3 linked regions of the Zea mays genome follow. The main gene of each other region encodes a partner of the protein of the gene in region 2 in a complex. Links are inferred from orthologs where the notes say so. Each region holds a gene or a part of one and is shown on either strand. Other genes may lie near its edges.

What was found. Proteins that work in one complex are often made in the same cells at the same time.
Region 1: rps4 (region 2) and 30S ribosomal protein S6, chloroplastic-like share a complex: the UniProt entries of both Arabidopsis thaliana proteins name them as parts of the 30S ribosomal subunit. The link is inferred for Zea mays from reciprocal best matches to the Arabidopsis thaliana genes rps4 and AT1G64510.
Region 3: rps4 (region 2) and 30S ribosomal protein S31, chloroplastic-like share a complex: the UniProt entries of both Arabidopsis thaliana proteins name them as parts of the 30S ribosomal subunit. The link is inferred for Zea mays from reciprocal best matches to the Arabidopsis thaliana genes rps4 and PSRP4.

The regions. Positions count from the first base shown.
Region 1 is NC_050096.1:303,987,728-303,991,220, forward strand, and holds 30S ribosomal protein S6, chloroplastic-like, read left to right. Parts: upstream 1-1,309; 5' UTR 1,310-1,424; coding exon 1,425-1,847; intron 1,848-2,494; coding exon 2,495-2,740; 3' UTR 2,741-2,864; downstream 2,865-3,493. UniProt on the Arabidopsis thaliana protein: Binds together with bS18 to 16S ribosomal RNA.
Region 2 is NC_001666.2:46,624-49,291, reverse strand, and holds rps4 (ribosomal protein S4), read left to right. Parts: upstream 1-1,529; coding exon 1,530-2,135; downstream 2,136-2,668. UniProt on the Arabidopsis thaliana protein: One of the primary rRNA binding proteins, it binds directly to 16S rRNA where it nucleates assembly of the body of the 30S subunit. With S5 and S12 plays an important role in translational accuracy.
Region 3 is NC_050098.1:170,389,825-170,393,935, forward strand, and holds 30S ribosomal protein S31, chloroplastic-like, read right to left. Parts: upstream 2,593-4,111; 5' UTR 2,535-2,592; coding exon 2,339-2,534; intron 1,122-2,338; coding exon 1,057-1,121; intron 975-1,056; coding exon 843-974; 3' UTR 630-842; downstream 1-629. Other genes in the region: putative RING zinc finger domain superfamily protein, read right to left, coding at 3,882-4,092.

The DNA of each region.
Region 1 (3,493 bases), on a different chromosome or scaffold from region 2:
TAGCCTTTAGATCCCCCATTTTGGTAAATATAAATTTAGTGGATCTAGATCGTTTGACAAAGTTTTTCAAAAATTTAAATTATTTTTAGTGAATCTCAAATAAACTCATACTGTTGTTTCATTTGATATGGCTCCTTTTAGAAGGGCTCTAGCTCCTTATTTTATTGTCAGTAGAGTACCTTCTATGAAGCTGAAGTTTTTGTAAGTAAAAAAATGGGCTATTTAAATTTGTACCCTTAGTTTTGCTTCATTCCTTATTTTTAACCTTGGTCGTGTTTTTTCTTAGTTTTGCCCTACTACTCTATAACACTAGAAGGACAAAACTAAGTAAAAAAACACGACTAAGGGTAAAAATGAGAACACCAGCAAAACTTGGAGCAAAAGCTTAAAAAATCCAAAAATAAAAGCCATATTTCAGCATCGTGTCTCTTTTATAAAAAATGACTTTGACTTTTTGAGCTCTACAAGGAGTTGTTTTCGGCTATTGGCCCCTTTAAGAAGTCGTGAGAAAGTAGAGTCGAAGTCCTGTCAAATTGACCTACAATAGAATGTCTTCAGACCTTCACACAAAGTTTTTCGGTGTTCAAATTCACTAGATCTTTTATCTTGGTCCTGTTTGTTTCGGATTCTAGCAGCTTCTGGCCACCAAAAGCTGCTGCGGATTGCCAAACGCTCAGCTTTTCAGCCAGCTTCTATAAAATTCGTTGGGACAAAAACCATCCAAAATCAATATAAACACATAATCGGTTAAGTCGTTGTAATAGTATGAATTCATCACTTTCTAGATCCTGAGTCCTATGAACAACTTTATTTTCCTCCACACGTAATCGTAATGATACTCAGATTCTCCCCACAGCCAGATTCTCCTTACAGCCAGATTTTCAGAAAAGCTGGTCAGAAAAAAACTGAACCAAACAGGCCCCTTATATCTCGTATACAGAGAAGATTAGGTCTACTCTATATTTAGTCAATTCAACTGTTCGAGATTTTTTTAAAAAAATATAGGTCCGCTGTTGATATTGTATTTTAGCTGCCTAAATCTTTGGACAGCAAACTTAGATAATCAATTAGTATAATTAAAAGAATAATTTATACTTTTTCTATGGGTAAATAAAGGAAAACATACATGCTGCGTATATGACAACAAAAGAATCATACACATAAAACATAGAAGAAATGCATAACTACATATAGTTGAAATACACACAAAGTTAACGTTGTAAACAATTTTGGTTTAACTGGCAACCCGGCCGTTTTTCCACCAATATGAAAATCCGTGCAAACTCCAAACAGGGCGTGGCGTCCTATCCTTATCTATCGAGTGGACGCGACGCCAACAGCGTCAGCGCCTCCTCCCGCTCTCCGGCTCCTGTCCTGCTCGCGCTCGTCGCCCCCCTGCCGCTCGGCTCCCCTTGGCCCCTCCAATGCCGCCACCCATGGCACTGCTGCCGCTCTCCTCCGCATCCGCGTCCGCCGCGCTGCCGCCCTTCCGCTCCTGCCCGCCCGCTGCGATGCTGCTTCGCCTCCCCTCCCCCGCCCCCTCCCATTTCGCCCGCCCCCGCGCGGTCTCCACTGGGTACGCGGCGTCCTTCTACGGCGGCTCGGCGATGTCCGCGGCCGGCGGCGCGGACGAGGAGGAGGAGGTCGGCTACGAGTCGGGGTTCGGCCCGGGGCTAGGGCTGGGCGGCGGCGGCCTCGGGATGTCGGCCGCGGAAGCCGCGCTGGCGCTGGAGGAGCGCGAGATGCCGCCCTGCCCACCCGGCCTCCGCCAGTACGAGACCATGGTCGTGCTCCGCCCCGACATGTCCGAGGAGGAGCGCCTCGCCTTCATCCAGCGCTACGAGGAGGTAATTTGCGTTTGCCTCCGCTCCGTTTGGCTGCCACTATAGCTAACTGGATGGATGGAGCAGCGTAACACGGGCACGGCTCGATCGGCTCACCTCTGCCTCTTGCATATCTCGCTACCATTTGCTGTTCCGATGGCAGAGAGAGCAGACAGATGATAATTTCTGGACAGGCTGGTATCATACTTGAGCAATGCGAGACGAATGTTAAAAGGGTTCCGAGTGTTTCGAATTTCATCCAATAAATATTAGGATTTCTAAACGTATAAAAGTGGATCCGCCATAGTTAATTGCCATCCTATCCTGAATTCACCATGTATGTTAGGCACTGTTTCTGTTAGAAACTCACTCTAGTCTAGAGCTAATCAGTTTGTTCACATTGAAGTCAGATGCTGCGGCGGTAATATATAGAGACAAGAAACCGTTTCGGATTAAAGACAGGTGAACAGCTTGAATATATAGCAGTAGAGGTTTGAACACCCCCTACCTAATAACTCAGCTAATTTGTGAGTTAACAATCAGTCCATTAGCTGGTTTAACCTAGCTAACAATTTGTTAGTTCCAAACGGGCCCTTAATCGCTGTTATCAGTCACATGCCATCTGCGTACCATTCCAATCCAGCTCAGCTTGGTGTTTTCCTGTGCTGCAGCTGCTCGTCGCCGGCGGCGCCATGTACGTGGAGGTCTTCAACCGCGGTGTCATCCCGCTGGCATACAGCATCAGGAAGAGGAACAGCCGCACCGGGCTGCCGTCCACCTACTACGACGGCATCTACCTCCTCATCACCTACTTCACCAAGCCGGAGTCCATGGACGCCCTGCAGCTTAAGCTCAACGCCGACGACGACGTCATCCGCTCCACCAGCTTCAAGGTCCGCCAGCGGAAGGCCGTCTAGTTAGACGGGTTGCCTCCTCCGCCTTCAGGCCCTGAACACTGTTTTGTTCACATACCATACTACAAGAAATCTGCTGTACAAGAATCCACCTTTGCCATGATTGTTGAGTTTTTTTTTTTTGAATATGTTTCTTGTCTTGTGGTTCTCGAAAATGGACGTCCGGCCATCGTTCGCCAGAGAAACACCGCGCCTCCTAAAACCATCATGTTTCATCAGGTACCAAAAATAAAGGTCCGTAGCTAGGTAGCGTCGAGCCTGAGCGCGCTCCGGGGATGGAGAACAGTCCAAACCCATCGTAAATCTGCAACAGTACAAGCATATACAGTGCAATTTGTGGAAGAGATTCGTACAAGTACAACTTTCATTTGATTTCAGAGGCGTTTAAATACTCCACACTTCATTCCCATTTAGCGTCAAGTGCGTTGGTGTTTCCAAATATTCATTTGATGAAAGAGATGTTCTCGGCATATAACTAAACAGTACGACACTAGGACATGACATGATGCAGAACGCAGATTGGCTTTCGGATTTCTCGAGCAGGAACAGGAAACTTCGGAAGATAAGACACAAAGCACAACACAAACCAGAACAGACGCCAGCAATCCAAAATCTGTCAGCCATGGAGTAACATTTAGTATCTCTCATGGCGCCTGAAATCATAAACAAATACCTGGGTCAGTCAACGATGTGAGGCACAAGGGTTTCAAATAAAAAAGTGTGCCTATTATTCAGCAATACCTGCTGCGCTCCCTG
Region 2 (2,668 bases):
AAAAAAATTATGAATTTTCTATTTCATAATCATTCCTAATTTCATTCTAAAAATAAAATAAAGAACCTATATTATAATATGGGTTCTGTGATTAATCGTTATTACTTCGATTCGTTAGAACAGCTTCCATTGAGTCTCTGCACCTATCCTTTTCCTTTGGGTTCTAGTTTGAGAACCACTTGTTTTTCAAAAAAGGGATTTGGCTCAGGATTGCCCATTTTTCATTCCAGGGTTTCTCTGAATTTGGAAGTTACCACTTAGCAGGTTTCCATACCAAGGCTCAATACAATCAAGTCCGTAGCGTCTACCGATTTCGCCATATCCCCATTTTACTTTTCTTTGAAACCAGGATTCCTTGTATAATTTAATCCATCTCTTAGTTTTTTTTGAATCATTGAATTCATTATTCGACGTAGTCTAGCAACTCATCTCTATTTGAGACACCCCGCTCGCTTATTGCAATTCAGAATTGCATTGATTTTATCGTTGATATATTTGCAATTCAATCGGAATGAATATATCCAAAAGTTTTTCTCTCTCCCGCCTCCCTCCTTCCTTTTTTAGAGTATTCCAAATCATACTATAACGCTTGATATTCATTCTTTTTTTCTAAACTGAATTAGAAATTTCATTTGCTATGATTCTATCTTCTCCTTAGTGAACTATTTATCCTTAAATTATTAACAAATAAAAAAACAAAATATCTCAAAAATGTATATAATGATCAAATGAAAATGCCAATCTCTTGGCATTTTCTCTTTATTATATTATTCATATATATTCTTCTTTTTCTTCTTTTCTATGTATTAGATTATTCCTCCGAGCCATATCAAATTGAAAATATCTGAAATCAAATTCAATATAGAATTTGGAATAGATTCTATTAAAAAAATCCATTTGCGAATTAGAGAAATAAAAAGAAAGTTCAATAAATTCTATAATCCTATTTAAGAATATCATTTAGTTAAGCATATCAAGCTAACTTTATCTTTATGAAATTCTAGTATTTTTTTTTTTCTATCTAAGTGGAACTTCCAATTTAGAACTAGTTAATAACTAAGATTAATAATTAAGATCTGACATTTTACAGATTCCCTATATATATATTTTTATTTGTTACACTATTTCTGTTATGTAAGCCCACTTAGCTCAGAGGTTAGAGCATCGCATTTGTAATGCGAGGGTCATCGGTTCAAATCCGATAGTCGGCTTTTTTTTCTATCGATGTTCTATGAACAAGAATTTCTCTTTTTCTCCGAATAAAATGGGGAATCAGGGTCTATTATGTCGTTTTACCTTACAATTTTGCTAGATACAAAGCATAAAAATAAATAATATATATACAAAAAATCCAGATGTTGATGAAATTCCATTTTTTGTGTTACTCCATTTTTTGTGTTACTTTAGTAGATTTTACTCTGTTTATCCTTTAGTTTAATTCTGTTTGAATTTCGCTGTATTCTGTAATGTAAATAGAACGAAATTTATTGTGTAAAATGAAATTTCAATAAAATAAAAAAGGAGTCTTCATGTCCCGTTATCGAGGGCCTCGTTTAAAAAAAATACGCCGTCTGGGAGCTTTACCAGGACTCACTAGAAAAACGCCTAAATCCGGAAGTAATCAGAAAAAGAAATTCCATTCTGGGAAAAAAGAGCAATATCGTATTCGTCTTCAAGAAAAACAGAAATTGCGTTTTCATTATGGTCTGACAGAACGACAATTACTTAGATATGTACATATCGCTGGAAAAGCAAAAAGATCCACAGGTCAGGTTTTACTACAATTACTTGAAATGCGTTTGGATAATATCCTTTTTCGATTGGGTATGGCTTCAACCATTCCTGGGGCCCGACAATTAGTTAACCATAGACATATTTTAGTTAATGGTCGTATAGTTGATATACCAAGCTTTCGTTGCAAACCCCGAGATATTATTACTACGAAGGATAACCAACGATCAAAACGTTTGGTTCAAAATTATATTGCTTCATCCGATCCGGGCAAATTACCAAAGCATTTGACGGTTGACACATTGCAATATAAAGGACTAGTAAAAAAAATTCTAGATAGGAAGTGGGTCGGTCTCAAAATAAATGAGTTGTTAGTTGTAGAATATTATTCTCGCCAGACTTGAACTTAACGAAAAAAGGAAAGGTTCATAGAATTTTTTTCCCCTTCCCCTTTCCCCGAACTAAATCGACCTAAGGCTCTTAATTCGTATTTTCCCGTTCACCTAGCAGAAATAGATTAACCCTAGGATACTTTTTTCTTTTTTGTTATTTCCTCGATGTGTATTTTACATACCACAGTAATTTGCTATAGAGAATTTCTATTAATTAAAGGTATTATTGTTGGAATAAATTGTTATTTAATTTGATACATTGTGATCGCTAACATTGATGAATTAAGAGAAACGGAAAGAGAGGGATTCGAACCCTCGGTAAACAAAAGTCTACATAGCAGTTCCAATGCTACGCCTTGAACCGCTCGGCCATCTCTCCTACATAATCTTATTATGGAAAATAAACTGAGTGAATAGCGAGTTTTCGTATTCCTGCAGTACAGGTACAGCCACAACGGCTCGGGAATTCCATGGCTCTATTGGATTGGATGGAAAAATTCCTTTTCATCTAAGTGGAAGGATCCTGTATTTTTTTACTAGGAATT
Region 3 (4,111 bases), on a different chromosome or scaffold from region 2:
ACGAGCTAGGTTGCGGAGTGTGGTTTGCTCGTTAGAGCTTATTTTCGGACATCCAAAAAACATGCTTCCTATGTGGGATGATGGTTATCTTTATATTTGTATGTTAATTAGTCTCTTTGCTGTTAAATTTCGTGTAAGTTGGTCCTGCCGATGGAGAATCGAGCAGCTCCCTTTTTTTGTTCTATCAACTATGCTGTAATTCTGGCTATGTATCGGCAAAAACAATTCTATATGCTGAGTTGGAGTCGGCAAAAATTCATATATGCTGAGTTGGAGACAGCAACTTGTTTGGATCATATTTTGCTGAGACACTCGTGAGAGATTGGCATAGCAAGAGACCTGAAAGTGTTAGCTGAAGTTTGAAACAAAACTTACATCATTGCAACACATATTAATAACACAACACGATCATTAGTTCAGCACGCAAGATCTTTGCACATTGCTGACGTATGAATAAATCGCTAGTTGGATTTTGTTTTACCTGTTAGGGCTGGATTGTTCGGTTAGAAGAGGATTGAAAGAGATTAAATCTTATTAATCCCCTTACAAATGAAACGTGTAATCTCTCCGTTACCACTAGATGAATCATTTAATATCTTCTAAAAAAAACTTATTTCGACACAGTTTCATTTTGAAGAGAGTAAAGAACTCAGCAGCTGGAAAGGAAAATAAAGAACCCAGTCAGTAGTAGGAACATTACTAGCCAAATGAAAGTGTGGCAGCCTACCCATCGATAATTATAGGCGAGGAAATAATTACTTAAAATATGTAGTATTTGATTTGGTACAAACTAGGCCAATTAAGCTCAGGGCAAATATAAAGCAAGGCAGAACTCGGACAACCTATTCCAGGATGTCCTCGTCAATCTCGATTGAAATGATCTCCCCATCATCGAACTGATCCTTCCTTGGAGGAGCAGGAGGGGCAAAGAGCCGCGCAGGCCCAGTTCCCTTCTTCTTGTTGCGCGGCCTCGCCTAGACATGATCAGACAGCTAAATAAAACAGAACAGGGGGAAAAAACCAAAAATGCGATGTAAATTGTGCTGGAGCACTCACATTGCCATATGAATGGTTGAACCTTTTGCCCCTTTTCGTTTTCTTGTCCCCTCTCCCGCAGTAGACTGAGCAAGACCAGATAAAGTTTAAAACTGTCTGTCAGTCCACAGGATCATCAGTATTGATATAAACAGAGGCCAAAAGGGACAGCACCCCAGTTGGGTTCGTAGTACAATCAGAGAATAAAATCCTGAAGCAGGCTATGGACACTAGAATTTCAGAAATTGATTTCAAATTATGATTAACTAAAACTTCTTTGAAGTACACGCATGAGAAGCATCCATCTTTGACTCTCTGTATTAATAAACCAGAAACAAGTGTTTACAACAGCTGAGGCCAGTGGCAACAGAGACGACCAAAACTATAGGCGGTAGTGATAAACAAGAGATTCAGCTTCCTTGATTGGCACTCACTCCTGACACCGTGTGAAGTGAATCAGTCAACCGGTAAAGGTTTAATAATCTACTACAGTAGTAGTTTTCAGTTCATATATATGCTCCTGCTCCTCGATACCGTAATTTTTTCGTGTGGAACAACTTAAGCTCTTAAGAATCCAGTTTCTAGAAACTAGTTTATAAAAAAAAAGGTTAATGGTGTTTAGAATCACCTTAATTTTTATAAATTGATTTTAGCTAGAGAAGACTAGCTTCTTGGTTTTTTAAGAAACTAGGAATCCAATTTCTATAAATTAGTTTGGAACCACGTCAATTTCTATAAAAAAAACTAGGTGCTTCCAAACAGACCCTTAGGCCATGTTTGGAAGCAACCTAGTTTTTAAGAATCTAGTTTCTAACTTCAGTTTCTATAAAGTGATTTATAAAAAAACTGGTTAATAGTTTTTAGAACCACCTCAATTTCTATAAACTGCCTTTAGCTAGATGGGATTAGCTTCTTGGTTTTTAAGAAACTGAGAATCCAACTTCTATAGACTGGGACAAAAGCTAGTATATTTGGAACCACCACAATTTTCATGAACCAGTTTGTTAAAAACTGGATGCTTTCCTTGGTCAGTCTAGTTGACCCAGATCGACTAACAGCATCACAACCTCCATCTCTTCTGGGGAGTACATTTCAGTAATAAATCCCTTGACTATTTCATAAAAAGAAGAAAAATCCCGATTGAATTGGAACGAATTTCCCAAGTGTCAGTGTAATAGTAGTCATTGCCTTTTCTCCCTTATTGCGTGGAAAACAGTAGCCATTGCTCGTGACATGTGTTAGAAAGAAACTACTCCTACATCGGACAAAAACAAGGGGAGTGAGGAGGTAGCTGTTTAATTACCGTCAAGAACTGGAGTGACGGTGGCCGACAAGACGGCGCCGACGGCGAACGCAGCCCGGGCGCGGGGGAAGGCGGCGGAGGCTGCGAGCGCGTAGGAGGAGGTGGAGACGTAGGATGAGACGGCGCCGTGGTTGTGAGATGGGAGGGCCGCGGCGGCGGTGGACATGGCCATGCCCTGGACGGCGAGCAGCGCCATGGGGGCAAGAAGGAGCGAGCAAGCGCAGGGAAGAGAGACTAGTGTGCTCGGGAATGGTGGTGTGGTGGATCAGGTTGGATAAGGGATAAAAGGGCTCGCAGTTGGAGCCACAGCGCACATCTAAGATGGGCTGCAGGGCTGGTGTGGGCTGGGCCAGAAGTAACCTTATCGGCCATTACTGTAAAGTATGGTGCACACACCTAGCCAGGCCGTCGTCGAGTCTGGTCAGGTCTTGGATCCTTTTCTTTCTCTTTCTTTTTTTTGATAATTAATATAATTAAGATGACCAAAGCTTAGCTTTGATTCATGCTAACAGAAAACAAAACCCTAGATGCTCCAGCGTCGTTCTCCGGCCCGTGCTTCTCCTGCTGAGTTAGGGTTCTGGTCCTTCTCGAATCTCGATTTCGGCGGTGGACTGGTGGAGGCAGACACTTGAACCCATGGTGGCCGGCCTCACGGCACCACCCGTGCAAGGTGCCAGCTTTCCGGACTGGATGAGCTCATGGCTTGTGCATCAACAAACCCTGAGGGTAGGGTGAGCGTCAAGGAGCGGCCCCGAGCTGTCCCCCACCCCCGTGCAGGCAATTTTCGGTCCTGGAGCTGGAGTTAGTAGTATTTGGGAGCGTGTGGCTGGAGCGATTCCAATTCATTTCAGCAACCGAAATACCGAATGGAGGAGTTGCCAAGGTCACTGTCAGGCACTCACCTGTGCACTACTGTACAGCACAGATTGAACGGTCGCTATCAGGTTCATGTCAACCGAGCAGAGTTTCAGTTTCAGTGCCCAATCATGAATAAAAAACCGATGGCCAAAATGTAGTGGTGGGAGAACGCCTCAAGCAAAGTGCCTTGCACGGAGTGGAGACGGTTCGATGGCATGACCTGACCACATGTGTCTTCTTTCTTCTGGAACCTCTAGAAGGAGAGGAACGGATGAATCCTCAACAACGCTCACGATTATGAATGGTGCAGGTGGCCACGAGAATTGAAGACGATATATATAGAGCAGAGAAGTAGAGGCCCCCTGATTTCTTCATTCTGAACAGTCCGGCAATTCGCCAGACGAGAAATGTCAAGCTAGTATATTATATATAAAACCCGAGACATTTTCCTTCTTTATTTACAACCATTACAGCGAGCAACGCCACCATGCAATAAAGCCAGCGCAACGGCGTGGCATGCCCACGAGAGTATCGTCTGTTGGTCGGCAACGGCTTCGCTTTGCCAACTCGATCCGCAGAGGATGGTCGGCTGCGGGTAACCCTTGTCGCTTGTACGCCGCGTCTTCTTCCCAGACCCCCTTCCTCTTCCAGAGCTTCAGAGTGGGGGGTGGGGGGAGGAGCCTTGCTAGACTAGGTAGTCGTAGTAGACCAGCAGCATGTTGTCGGGGACGATCAGGGGCAGGCTGTCGATGAAGCTGAGGAAGTGCTTCACGTTCTCCTTCTCCAGCGTCACCGTGTCGATCACGTCGTCGTCGCCGGTGAGCACCCACAGGTCTCTGGACCGGACCCTCTTCAGGCTCCCGCGGCAGAACGGGCATGACTGGGACCTTGTGTACCTGCAGTCACGGAACATCC